3 linked regions of the Tribolium castaneum genome follow. The main gene of each other region encodes a partner of the protein of the gene in region 2 in a complex. Links are inferred from orthologs where the notes say so. Each region holds a gene or a part of one and is shown on either strand. Other genes may lie near its edges.

Region 1 (4,377 bases), on a different chromosome or scaffold from region 2:
TACCACTTGTCACGTTTATGTGAAAAGTGATCACGAACTTACGCCAGCTGAGGAAAAAGAAGAGGATTTGTTAGACATGGCGCCGTTTCTTAAAGAAAACTCTAGGTTAGGTTGTCAGATTATTTTAACCAAAGAATTAGAAGGGCTTGAGTTAGAATTGCCACAAGCAACGAGGAACTTTTACGTTGATGGCCACACACCAGCGCCTCATTAACCTTCTATTGTGTAAATAACGAGTTATGAAGTCAGCCACCAATTTATTTTAATAAAAAAGTGTTAAAAATTTATTTGTCTTTCTTGCTTGTCGGTTTTTGCGGCTTTTCAGTCTTACGACATTTCATTAAAATTATCAACAAGAAACCAACAACAGTCGCCGCTAAACCAATTTTCCACGCCATTGCGCTTTCCTTCAAATTAAGTACGATATTTTCGACAATATTATCACTGAAAAATTCCATTATAACACAAGAAGATAAATTGCAATTGCTTACAATGGCGTTTTAGGCGATGGTACTTTAATGGGAGTCACGTTTTTGTACCATTCTTGGGCAAAAGAAGTGAAAGACGCAACGTCGTACTTTTGGATTTGATATTTATACATTTTGCCTTGTCTGAAGCTAAAAAAATGTGTGAGAATTGAAACAAAATTGAGAAGTCAATTTACAGAATAAAAGTTGGGGCTTGGGAGACTCCAAATCGTGTGGCGGTAGCGGCCCCATCTGTCGCCTTATTGACTCGTGCGACGTTCATTCGTGTTTTTAATTGTGCCCCGACTGTCTCCCACCGGGCTTGAAGGCGGTGGCAATCGACACAGTCTGGGGTATAACTTTGAAAAAATTAAACAAAAATCTACAACCATTTAAAAAGACTTACAACATCACAAACCAGTCGCCTGTGGTAGCCCCACTGGCGGCCTGGGTTAAGTGTTCAAAAGTCTCATCGTTTAATTCCTTCACCACCGGTTCTTTATTGTTAACAAATGTGTGAAGAATTAGCTCTTCTGAAGGAATATCTAAAGCAAAATAAATGCGAATAAAATTGATTACGGTTAAATGTAGCAATACCATTATAAAGTAGAGGAATTCCATGTCTGAAAAACACCAAAACCGGCTCCTTCGTGGGGCTATACAGTCTTGTTAACTGGCTGTTAACGACTTTAACAGTCTCTCCTTCAAATGATTTAGAGAACTCTTCCTCCAAATTTGTTAAAATGTTTTCGAAGTTATCACAAAGTTCGCAATTTTTCGCAGCTGGAATTTTCGTTCAATCTTGATAGGAACGCAAAGTGGGGACTTACAAAACAGCGCAACCACATAAGTCTCACTTCTGATTAAGTTCATGAGATCATCATCCTGGATTGATTTTATTGCACCACAGTTACAAAAACTATTGAAAATAACGGACAGACACGACAAAATATACAAAAACCTACTCATTTTAGCTCAATAACCTCACATAACCCAAAACATTCAACAACACGAAAATCCCCCAGAATTGTCAACCATCAGCCATTTTGTTGACGAGTGATGCCGGTTTTTATTATCGATTTATGATTTGTGCACAAATGTGAAGTGCAAGGGTTTATTTGCAAAAACGGTGTGTTTTTGTGGACTTTTCCTTGTGTGATGATCAACTGAATCCAGGTTTGTCCAATTGCAACCATAATTAGCAGTTGTTTCATGATATTTGCCCAATTAGTGTAAGGCCATGACTGTATTAATTTTTACGGCCATTGATTGTGTTTTTCAATAATAAAAAATCAATTAACGAGATTTGACAATCGTACATTGTCAATAAGCTATTTCTGGCGCGTGTTTATGGTTACCGACGTCCGTGGTATTCCGTTTAGCGTTTGTTTACGACGTCATTTGACACAACAATTGGCGCTCATTTGAATTAAGACTTCTGTAATTTGATTTCTGTACGATTCACTACTTTAGTTAAATGTAGCCTTGGTTGAAAACCTTTTCAGCATAATGAGTAAAAGGCGTCGAACGAGTTCTATAGCCAGTAGGGGGCAAGAAGACGATTCTTTGGATAGTCTGGAGGCTTCGACTAGTACAGGACCTACGATGCGAAAGCGCAGCAAAAAACTAGATCCTGTAACAGGAAATTGCGAGTTTGTTCCACATTGTGACGCCTTGTTTTTAGATGGAACTTTGTCAACAATTGTACGATTCAATCCGCAATCACAAAAAAGACGACGGGACTCTTCTCTGCGATTCGTTTATTCGAGTACCGAAACGTAGACAAGAGCCCGGCTATTATGAGGTTGTTTCAAACCCGATCGATTTGTTGAAAGTGCAACAAAAACTGAAAACTGAGGAATATGAGGATATCGAGGATTTGCAGAACGATATCGAGTTAATTGTCAATAACACGAAAGCTTTCTATAAAAAGAATTCGCAGGAGTATCGCGACGCCATAGATTTGTGGGCCTTGTTTCTCTCTAACAAACACAAGTGAGTCCCGTTTTTAAATTAATTAACACTTAGCCATGTCTCAATTCAGACTACTTAATACCAAAGACGATGAACCCGAACCTAAGGGAAAAATCGTGTTAAAAGTCGGAAGACCGAGCAAAAAAGCCGGCACTCCGGTCGAAACCAAAGAACCTGAGCACTCTGAGGACACTTCAGAGAGTTCGAATTTCGACGACGATGTCAATTTATACGAGGAGCTGTTCACTTCAGTCATGACAGCGACCGATAATGAAAATCGGCCACTTCACACTTCTTTCCAGCTAATTCCCTCGAAGAAAAAATATCCCGAGTATTACGAAGTGATCGAACAACCCATCGATCTAAAAATGATTGCCACCAAAATCCAAACTAACGACTATTGCAGCTTGGCCGAGCTCGAGAAAGACTTGATGTTAATGTGCAAAAACGCCTGTTTGTTTAACGAACCCGGTTCGCAGATTTACAAAAACGCGAAAGCGCTGAAAAAGGTGAGAGCCGGGTTGTTTGTACCATTGACCCTTCAGTATTTTGTAGATAATTCAAAGTAAAAAAGCCGAGCTGGATCACATTAAATTAAGTTTGGGTAAAAGCAGCGAACGCATTAGGAATAAACGGTTAAGGGGCAGTACATCGCTATCTGCGGTCACTGCAGCCCTAAGGGACGACGAGTCGGACGCTGAGGTGGAACCAGAGGAACAGATGGACGATGAAGTAGCAAATCAAAGTGCAAAGTCGTTTTTTCAATGAATTGTTTCAGTCAATTGCTGATCCTCTTGATGTCGAAGATCCCCAGTGGCAATTGTTCGAGGCTGTGCGTTCAGTGACGAGTAATAGCGGAGTTTCCTTGAGCGAACCCTTCTGGAAATTGCCCTCGAAACGTTTCTATCCAGACTATTACCGCGAGATCAAAAACCCAGTCTCTTTGACTCAAATCAAACGAAAACTGACCAAGCACGCTTATGGCACCATAAGCGAAGTGGCCGGTGACATGACCATAATGTTTGAGAATGCGAAAAAGTATAACCTGCCGTCGTCAAGGTTGTATAAAGTGAGTTTGGTAACGTTTTCAACGTGAAATTTGAGCGAGTTTGTTCCAGGACGCTGTCAAGTTGCAAAAGGTCATGCAAATGAAAGTGCAAGAACTACTTGACATTGATCAGGTAACATACAGAGTCACTAACAAAAACCGGAAGGTATGCTACTGCACTGCTTATGTCTTCATTGCATTTATTAACTGTCGGGAGTTATTCATTTTGTGGGCGCTTACGTTGCTAACATCAGTCGGCTTGTTTCACTATTTTCCTAATCAGGCGTTTGAGTTGATGGTAATTGTTTAAATTTTTGTCTTTTTCAATCTTCAGGATACAGACAGTGAGGCAGATTCCGAAGTCGTTGTGCGCAAAAAGCCAGGACCTAAGCCAAAAAATACGCAATCGAGTGGCAGCACGCCACAAAGAGGGCGTCCACCGCGAGACCCAATCCCGCTAAAAAAACGTTTGCACGCTTTAGCGAAATATATGCTCGACTATACTGTCAGTTACACGTTTTGCAATTTTTTTTCTATTAGCCATTTTTCAGTGTGAGGATGGCCGAAAGCCCATGCTCGGCTTTATGGAAAAACCCTCGAAAAAATTGTATTCGGAATATTACGAAGTCATTTCGGAACCGATCGATTTCCTCGAAATTGAGCAAAAAATTCGCGCCGATCAGTACAGCTCCGAGAGTGACTTAGTCAAAGATTTTAAGCTCATGTTTTCGAACTGCCGACAGTTTAACGAGGAAAATTCGCCAATTTACGAGGATTCCCTCGTTTTGGAAAAACATCTGTTGGATAAAGTTGGGCATAGTGTCACTCCGGAAAAGAAGGAAAAAACCGTAGTCAGAGTGTACGTTTCCGGCTGAAAAATAAAAAAAT
Region 2 (3,597 bases):
CTTTCCTTGGAAAATTTAAACGAAAAATACCAAATACAGTTAAATCAAGAAATAAAACTTATGTCTAAGATAGTGTATTTATTTTTTGGGTTTTTTACAGATACGAACAGAGAGTACAACCATTTGTCGACGAGCATATACAAATCGTCTGATTACGACAGGCTAGCCTTATCGTTGATATCGCCGTTGCCCAACGAGCAAGATTTTGCCATAAACGTTTGTACTTTACTCTCCAACGATGGCAAACACACACTCAAACTCGAGAAACACCCGCGAATCGTCGATTATCTTTTGGCACATGCTGGTGTTTTTTGCCATAGTGAGTATTGCAGTTGGTGAAAATGCCGCTGAATTAATTGTGTAATAATTATTTAGGCTCTCTCCGACGTCTCTTCGTCCATAATTACTCGACGGTCAGAAAGCACCCCATTCACAATTTCTGGTCGGAAGTGCTCGAATCGAAGGAATTTTTGGATCTCACCGACGAAAACTCCGTCTTTATAAAATCCGAAAGTGTCGATAGTGGCGAAAGTGCGAAATCGGAAATCGTCGTGGAAAAATGTGATTCTGATAGTGACTGTGAAATAACGGATAATAAACGATTTAAAATAACCCCAAGTGATCGTGAACTGTTCTGTTTGGAACGCGGTCTCGGCACCCAAGACTACATCGGCCAAAGAGTGCTTCAAGTGACTACAATTTTAAGGAATCTCAGTTTTATCGAAGAGAACGTACCGATTTTACTACAAAACAAGACTTTTTTGCGGTTTTTGTTACTGTGCGCGTCGTCGAGATGGGGATATTTGAAGAATTTAGGTTTGGACATGTTGGGTAACATCGCGACGGATTTTTTAGTCAAGGATTATCCCAACGACAGATTCTCGGCGATTTTACTAAAAATCATCGTTAACGGTTTGAAGAGCGAAGATCGTGCGCTGTGTATTTCTTCCCTCGAAGTTTTAAATAAATTAAGCCAGAATGAACTGAACGAAGAAACGCTTTTGCGATTTTTAGAAGTTGACGTTTACGAAAAAGTTTGTTCGTTTTTAACGATTCACGATGTGATGTTACTCATTTACACTTTGGAGTGTTTGTATTCGTTATCGTCGCTTGGGGAACGTTCCTGTAATTTAATTGTGAGCAATCACGGCGTGGTTGACACTCTTGTGTCTTTAGTAACAGTCGAAGGGAAAAGTTACGGACCGAAAGCCTGCATCGGAATGAAATTAGTAGAGACACTGCCTGGTGGCGTTAGCACAACGGCAAGTCAAGCGATAACGACACCGGTCGCCACCACGACAAATTCGACTGTTGCGAGCACCTCGACGACTACGACGGCCACCAGTGCGGTTTTATCGACGATTACGGCCGTCAAAACGAGTGTGCAGACGACGCCAGTGAGGACGGTACAAATTACGCCTCAGAGGCTTTTGACTATAACGCCGAGTTCCTCAACCGGTACGTTTAAACACAAGCAGGAAAACTATTTAAATAGAGAAAAACGCAGAAACTGGTTATTTTATTATTTAGTAGAATTGATACAGTTGTAAGACAAGGAAACGACTACTTTAATATTTTTTGTAAAAGTCGTTTGTCTATTCATATAAAATTGGTTTATAGAGAATTGGACTGGTTTACAATAAAACCAGTTTCAAATTTGAATGTAGCCGATTTCTTTTTATTTTTCGTGGTTTTTTAACGATGTTTTAGTCAGGAAAATGTACAGAAGCCGAGTTAAATTCGATAGAAAAAAATAACGTTTGGAGATTCTTCTGCCAATTTTTCCAATTTTGGAACGGCTTTCTTGCCTTAATACTGATGAGACGATTTTTTACGAACAATTTGATTATTGTCAGCCACTTGTTAAGTTATGTTATTTAATCATTTACATAGCGAAGTCACTTTTCATGTTTCTGTGCAAAGTCAATATTGAAAAATAAATATTTAAAAATTGGTGTGTTCACCTGAAATAATTTTTAGTAACGACGACTGCTACGACGCCCGCACAGACCATGACCCCCCAGCAGCTGATCCAGCAACAGCACGCGCACCAGCAGGCCATCCACGAGAACGAGCAGTTTGCTTTAGCGTGGCTGAGGGCCACGTACGAGCCCTGCGTGAACGGCAAAGTGGATCACCAGGAGTTGTACAAACAGTATCTGAATTCGTGTTCGAAAATCGGTCGACGAGGGGTGATTTCACCCTTGCATTTTCCGAGATGCGTTAGGTGAGCTGAGGCTGATTAGTCGAAAAATCGCGATGTTTATTTGTGTGGTGTGCTGCAGGTCAGTATTTGGCGGGACGGTTGGCCCGAATCCGATGAAGCCGTCCAGCGCGAACGAGCCCCAGTATTATGAAGGGATAAAGGTGCGAGCTCAACCCCTCATTATTAATATCCAACCGGCTTCCACCACCAATCCCGTCACCACCACCCCACCACCACAGCCCACTAAAGGACCAAACAGGCGAAATAAGCAATCGGCCGCAACAAGTCCCTCACAAACGCCAACTTTGACGGTCATGGCCGACAATAGTAATTCCAACGACACTATGAATAACCCACCCGTCTCTCCCGCCTCACCTATCCTCAAGGCGCAGCTAAGTGCTCCCCCCAAACAGAGGGACGCCACTGTGGCTTCGCCGCCCACTAGTAAAGGCGATATGAAAAGTCAGGTAATTGAGAGGCACAAACGGCTGTCCGTACTTTTCATTTCATTTCTATCGCTGTTTCTTCCCTTTATAATAATTTCTAACCTTCCCCTAACACATATCATCAAATATAATTGATTTTTTCCCCTGTTTGATTGGAGTTTTTTGGCATTAAGGTAATGGCACATCCGCATTTGAGCCAAGCTTTATTGGGCAGCAATTCAGCGCAGACGACCGCCGGCTCAAGCAAAGATAATCAGGCAGGTCAAAGCAACACGTCACTCATCAAAAGCTTACTGGCCACAAAGGTAAACGATTGCATGACTACAGTGAGCATGAGGACTGCAACAGACTGCCAAAATGTAGCTCAGGTAACACACTAATCAAATTAGCTTAATAAAAACAAAACACGAGAAAGAAATAATTAAGGAAACCACGAATCTTTCCTTAACTATTTACAGCCTCAAGTCTTTAATTGCGTTTTTCAAGTACGTCGCATGTTTTTAGTGTTTTGTAATAAAATTACTAACAATTTCTATTAATGTGTTTATTTTGTTACTAATACGACTCGAATAATGCTTATTGTGTTTTTCTAGTAATTTTATATAATTACGTCGTATTGTGAGCAGGGCGACCCATCTAAAGCTGGTCTTTCTATTATAATTATAATATTATTAGCTATTTTTATAATATGCACTCGTATTATGATCGGTAAAAATAATAAACTCACATTTTAGCGGGCCATAAGTGGAAAAGATTAAATACACTTACCTTGCCCTCTCATCTCCATACAGCGAACCTACTGAAATTGAAAAAAAATCACAATAAGTACAATGTGTCAATCAATTACTTGAAAATATTACAAATTTAAAATAAATAAATAAATAAATAAATAAATAAATACAGGAGTTGCAAACTAACCCTTTAATCCTGTTCTTGTATCACAAT
Region 3 (4,307 bases), on a different chromosome or scaffold from region 2:
AGGGACACCAACGATTCGAAACCTAGACTCATGCCAAGGCGCTGCTTGGCTCATCTCAGTCATGAAGTCACGCTCGAAATAGATTTACCGAGCATTTGCGGTATTTTTAGATTTTCTGGCGGAGAAATTGGCACAGGGCATAATTTTGAGGTTAGGTTGACGTCCCCATTTCTAGGGATTTTTATCTGTCACTAGCATTCCCAAGCGGGAATTCTGGTCACCAACAGAAAATCAACGACAGAAAAGACATTTCTAGAAACATTCACGTTTCTAGAATTTTACATTTTTAAATTAATACCACTAATAGTCTTCATAATTGTAAAACTAATGGTACTTTTCATTTTTTTATGTTCGTAAAAATAAAAAAGTTATGAGACCTCAAAGTCTCTCTAGGTGTGACGTCGGGCGGCACAATTGACTCAGCTGGTTAAAATTAACATGTTTCCAAAATTATTTCGCTGTTCCTCAATTTTTTCCATTTAGCTATTGCAGTCCTATATCTTTTATGAATGTTTAATGAACTATAACTAAATAAAATAAATAAAATTCAGAAATCTCACGTTATAAAACCGTTGGATATCAAAAAATGAGAACAAGACATCTTTAGAAAAACAAGAGAATCGTAATTTCATATCTTTGAAAACACTAGGTTTATAATTATAAACCACATCTACTTATTCATCGAACGTATCTTCAAAAGCATTAACAAATAAAGAAATTGTATTTCTGTAAATAACAAGTCGTTTGTAGAACACTTATTTTTTTACATATTTTTTTTTGTACAAAACATTCTGCAAGCATCGCTTGTTCTATAAATCATAAAAATTTCCATTAGTTAATGTTTTTAGTTTTTTTTAAATAAAATAATATTTTATTAATATAAATATTTCTCATTAATTAATATTTATTATTTATAAGAAATTGTAGAAAAAATCTGATAAAATTCGAAGGCTTACAGAAAGAAATAAAGCAAAAAAAATCACAAACGCTGATTTTTGTGTGATTATTTAAATGGATTATTATTGGTTATTAGTGATTCATTACAGTATCTCCTTAAACAAATTACTTCAATTATCACAAATAACACTTTCTTTCAATATTTATATCTTTTAAGTCAATAAAATTATCCGGAGATCTCAATACAATGCCGAAAGGAACAGTAGTGTGTAAATCGCCGTAAATGACCCAATACTTAACAGTTTTTGATTACGCAATAGATTAAATAACTCTTTGTAATCAAAAATCTTTTTCACTTTTTTATCAAAGTCCAACATAAAACACTTTATAATCACGAAAAAACGCAAAACCAAAGGCAACACTAGTATTTACCGGCATATAATTTTAAATTGACTCTCTCTAATGTAAAAAATTAACAGTACACACGCAGAATTGCTAAATAATCCATTAAATGAGCAATTACCAAAACTTGTTACTGTTTTCGGCAAGTACGACATGTCGTCACCAGAGGACGCCTAGTTAATGCATTTCTGGTGATTTCAGTTTTGTCAATTAGACTAGCCACCAAAAGTGTTTTTTTACGAATTGTTTGAATTAATTAACCCCAAGTACCATCTCGTGCAAAACCAAACGAAATAATGTGAATCGTGTCCTTGCTTTGTGTAATTTATGCCCGTATTTTCCATTTGAGTGCCCTGTTGACATTTGTTGGTGTCACCTAACCTCACAGTGTTAAAGGACGCGGCAAAATGGCCCTCCGAACATTCGGTGAAAAACCGATAACTTTCCAATTGGAGGAAAATGGGGAGTATTACTGTGTGGGCTCCGAGGTGGGGAACTACCTGCGCCTGTTCCGGGGTTCCCTCTACAAGAAATACCCCGGAATGTACCGCAGGTCAATCACAAACGAGGAACGCAAACGCCTCATCGAGCTGGGCTTGAGCCAGCACGTTCTGGCCAGCAGTGTCTCACTGCTTCGGGCCTCGGAAGTCGAGGATATCATTGAGGGAAATGACGAAAAGTTGGTTTGTTTTTTGGGGGTTTTGTTGTTATTTGTTGATTATTTAGGTATAAGGCTGTTTCGGTGCACACTTCGGACCCGCCGATGCCGAGGGAGAGTAAATCGAAGAAGTCGATGCAATGGGTGCCCTCACTCCCAAACTCCAGTCATTTGGACGCTGTGCCCCAAGCCACCCCGATTAATCGGAACAGAGTGGCGGCGAAGAAAGTTCGGACGTTTCCGTTATGTTTTGATGATACTGATCCAGAGCTGAATATGCAAAATGCGGCACAAGGGGAGTTGTTGGTCCCGATAAGGCTGGATATGGAAATTGAGGGGCAGAAGCTGAGAGACACTTTCACGTGGAATAAAAACGGTAATTTTTTGGGTTTTTCTAATCACAGTACGCTCTGCATTTGAAATAAAGTTGTAACTTTTACATTATTTATTCTTATCAACTTATTTTCGAATACTTATTAGCGCATTTTGATCTGAAATTTAATTCTTGAATAATTTTTAAACCTGCCACCAGTCATTTAAACTAATCAAGATTGCGTGATACGAGAAAAATATGTTGGCAATGACTGTAGTCTAGTAACTAAGGTTACATCTGTTATCTAAATTGACACCATATTGTTGATACTGGGTCCTGATTATTAACTACAAACTTGTAGTAAATGATAAATTTTTTGATAAAACGCATTTTTAAACACTTTTAATATGATTTATAACTTTTTTTGAGTTTAATTTAATTAAAACACGTCAAAAGATCATCTAAATATGTCGAAAATGACCTGAATTTGACACTCTTTAAAAACAGTTCCAATTAGATTAAAGTGTATGTTTTCTTTAAAGTGACTTTGCTTTTTTGTTGAAGCAAAACTTCATAAAAACGCTAAAAAATCATCTAAATATGTTGAGTAATAGCGTTATTTCCAGATTATTTTGCCTTTTTTTTATTAAACTTATCTTGTTTTTGAGTATGAGACTTACTTGTTCTTGAAAGTTTTGTCAAAAAATGACTAAATTAGGTCGAAATTGACGTTTTCTTCAGTAGTGATTTGGACACATTTCGTGAAAATGCACCGAAAAATCATCTAAATATGTCAAAACTTATGTCATTTTGACAATGTTTTCTCTTTTTTGAAAACTTTTTTTTTATTAAATACCCCGAAAAATATCTAAATATATCGAAAGTTACGGTTGGTTCGACATTATTTTAGTTTTTGTCGTTAGATTTATTTTTTTTAGCGAGAAACTGACTTTTTTGTAAAATTTTGTCAAAAATAAGCAAATTGAGATAAAATTGACGTCCTAGTTTTAAGAATTTCTGGTAGGTTTATTTGTTTTGGAGCCAGGAACTGCAAAGTTTCGTGACAGAATTAATCAAATGTAATGTTTTTTTTAACAGCTTAATTTCTTAAAATAATCTAGCTTTGTTTTTATACGAAATTGCATTAAAATGCGCCGAAAAATTTACTTTCATATTTTTCTTGCCTTTTTCATTAAGTAAGTAAGTAAGTTTTTGAGCGAAAATCTCCATTGTTTTGAAGAATTTTGTCAAAAAGCCAATTTAAATAAAAATTGAGGTGCTTTTTCAGTCTATTTAATATATTATTATTTATTAATTATTCTAACCAACTGTATTTCTGTTGAAAAATGTACTAAACACGCTCAAAAATGTAAAATAATTGAGTTTTAAGTTTAAAATGGTGATAAAACTCCCAAAAAATGCAAAATTATCACCATTTTTGACGCAGGTTAGTGACTTTTCGGCTTATTTTTGAGAAATTTAATAATAATAAAAGTGTTTTATTCTCCCATTTTTGTTATTTGATAATTGTAGAGTGGGCCCAAGTCCCAAACCTTTGTTTTTATCTATAGCCGACCTAATTTAAAGTTTAGACCAAGTAAATACCAACTCAAGAAAAAAAAAACTTTTTTTTTTTTTCAGAAGTTTCGTTTTTTCTTCTGTCTTTTTGTTTTTTAGTTCGAACATGTATTTGACTGTCATCCTTCATCATCAACAGAGTATTTTTTTTAATTACACAATATTTTGTGCATTGTTGTTAGTTTCGTAGTTTTTTTATTTTTATTATTTTTATATTTGTTGAAATCGGGATATTAGAAATTATATTTAGGGTTTCAATTACCAACTGTTAAACTTTTATAAAAAAAATTTAACAAGACGAAAATACAAAACAACCGTTGGGTATTTTTGAGAGACGATTTTTTAAAATAAAAAAAATAAAAAAAAATTGTATAAAAAATAATGTTTGGTGCTTTTGAGCGACTAGTTTTTGGTTTTTTTTTCAATATCAAAAAAATCAGCAAACGTAACTTTAGTCAC

The links.
Region 1: Bap170 (region 2) and polybromo share a complex: the UniProt entries of both Homo sapiens proteins name them as parts of the SWI/SNF-B (PBAF) chromatin remodeling complex. The link is inferred for Tribolium castaneum from reciprocal best matches to the Homo sapiens genes ARID2 and PBRM1.
Region 3: Bap170 (region 2) and Snr1 share a complex: the UniProt entries of both Homo sapiens proteins name them as parts of the SWI/SNF-B (PBAF) chromatin remodeling complex. The link is inferred for Tribolium castaneum from reciprocal best matches to the Homo sapiens genes ARID2 and SMARCB1.

The regions. Positions count from the first base shown.
Region 1 is NC_087397.1:6,258,122-6,262,498, forward strand, and holds the start of polybromo (protein polybromo-1), read left to right. Parts: upstream 1-1,501; 5' UTR 1,502-1,643; intron 1,644-1,950; exon of another isoform or gene 1,951-1,972; 5' UTR 1,973-1,976; coding exon 1,977-2,102; intron 2,103-2,151; coding exon 2,152-2,462; intron 2,463-2,511; coding exon 2,512-2,950; intron 2,951-2,996; coding exon 2,997-3,173; intron 3,174-3,219; coding exon 3,220-3,510; intron 3,511-3,559; coding exon 3,560-3,655; intron 3,656-3,823; coding exon 3,824-3,994; intron 3,995-4,040; coding exon 4,041-4,348; intron 4,349-4,377. Other genes in the region: Fdx1 (adrenodoxin-like protein 1, mitochondrial), read left to right, coding at 1-214; thioredoxin domain-containing protein, read right to left, coding at 285-444, 492-617, 665-826, 874-1,012, 1,065-1,250, 1,298-1,436. UniProt on the Homo sapiens protein: Involved in transcriptional activation and repression of select genes by chromatin remodeling (alteration of DNA-nucleosome topology). Required for the stability of the SWI/SNF chromatin remodeling complex SWI/SNF-B (PBAF).
Region 2 is NC_087402.1:3,512,505-3,516,101, reverse strand, and holds part of Bap170 (AT-rich interactive domain-containing protein 2), read left to right. Parts: intron 1-100; coding exon 101-319; intron 320-375; coding exon 376-1,458; intron 1,459-1,980; coding exon 1,981-2,227; intron 2,228-2,285; coding exon 2,286-2,673; intron 2,674-2,825; coding exon 2,826-3,020; intron 3,021-3,597. UniProt on the Homo sapiens protein: Involved in transcriptional activation and repression of select genes by chromatin remodeling (alteration of DNA-nucleosome topology). Required for the stability of the SWI/SNF chromatin remodeling complex SWI/SNF-B (PBAF).
Region 3 is NC_087401.1:13,705,514-13,709,820, reverse strand, and holds the start of Snr1 (SWI/SNF-related matrix-associated actin-dependent regulator of chromatin subfamily B member 1), read left to right. Parts: upstream 1-1,480; 5' UTR 1,481-1,706; coding exon 1,707-1,978; intron 1,979-2,025; coding exon 2,026-2,333; intron 2,334-4,307. Other genes in the region: PIG-L (N-acetylglucosaminyl-phosphatidylinositol de-N-acetylase), read right to left, coding at 1-32.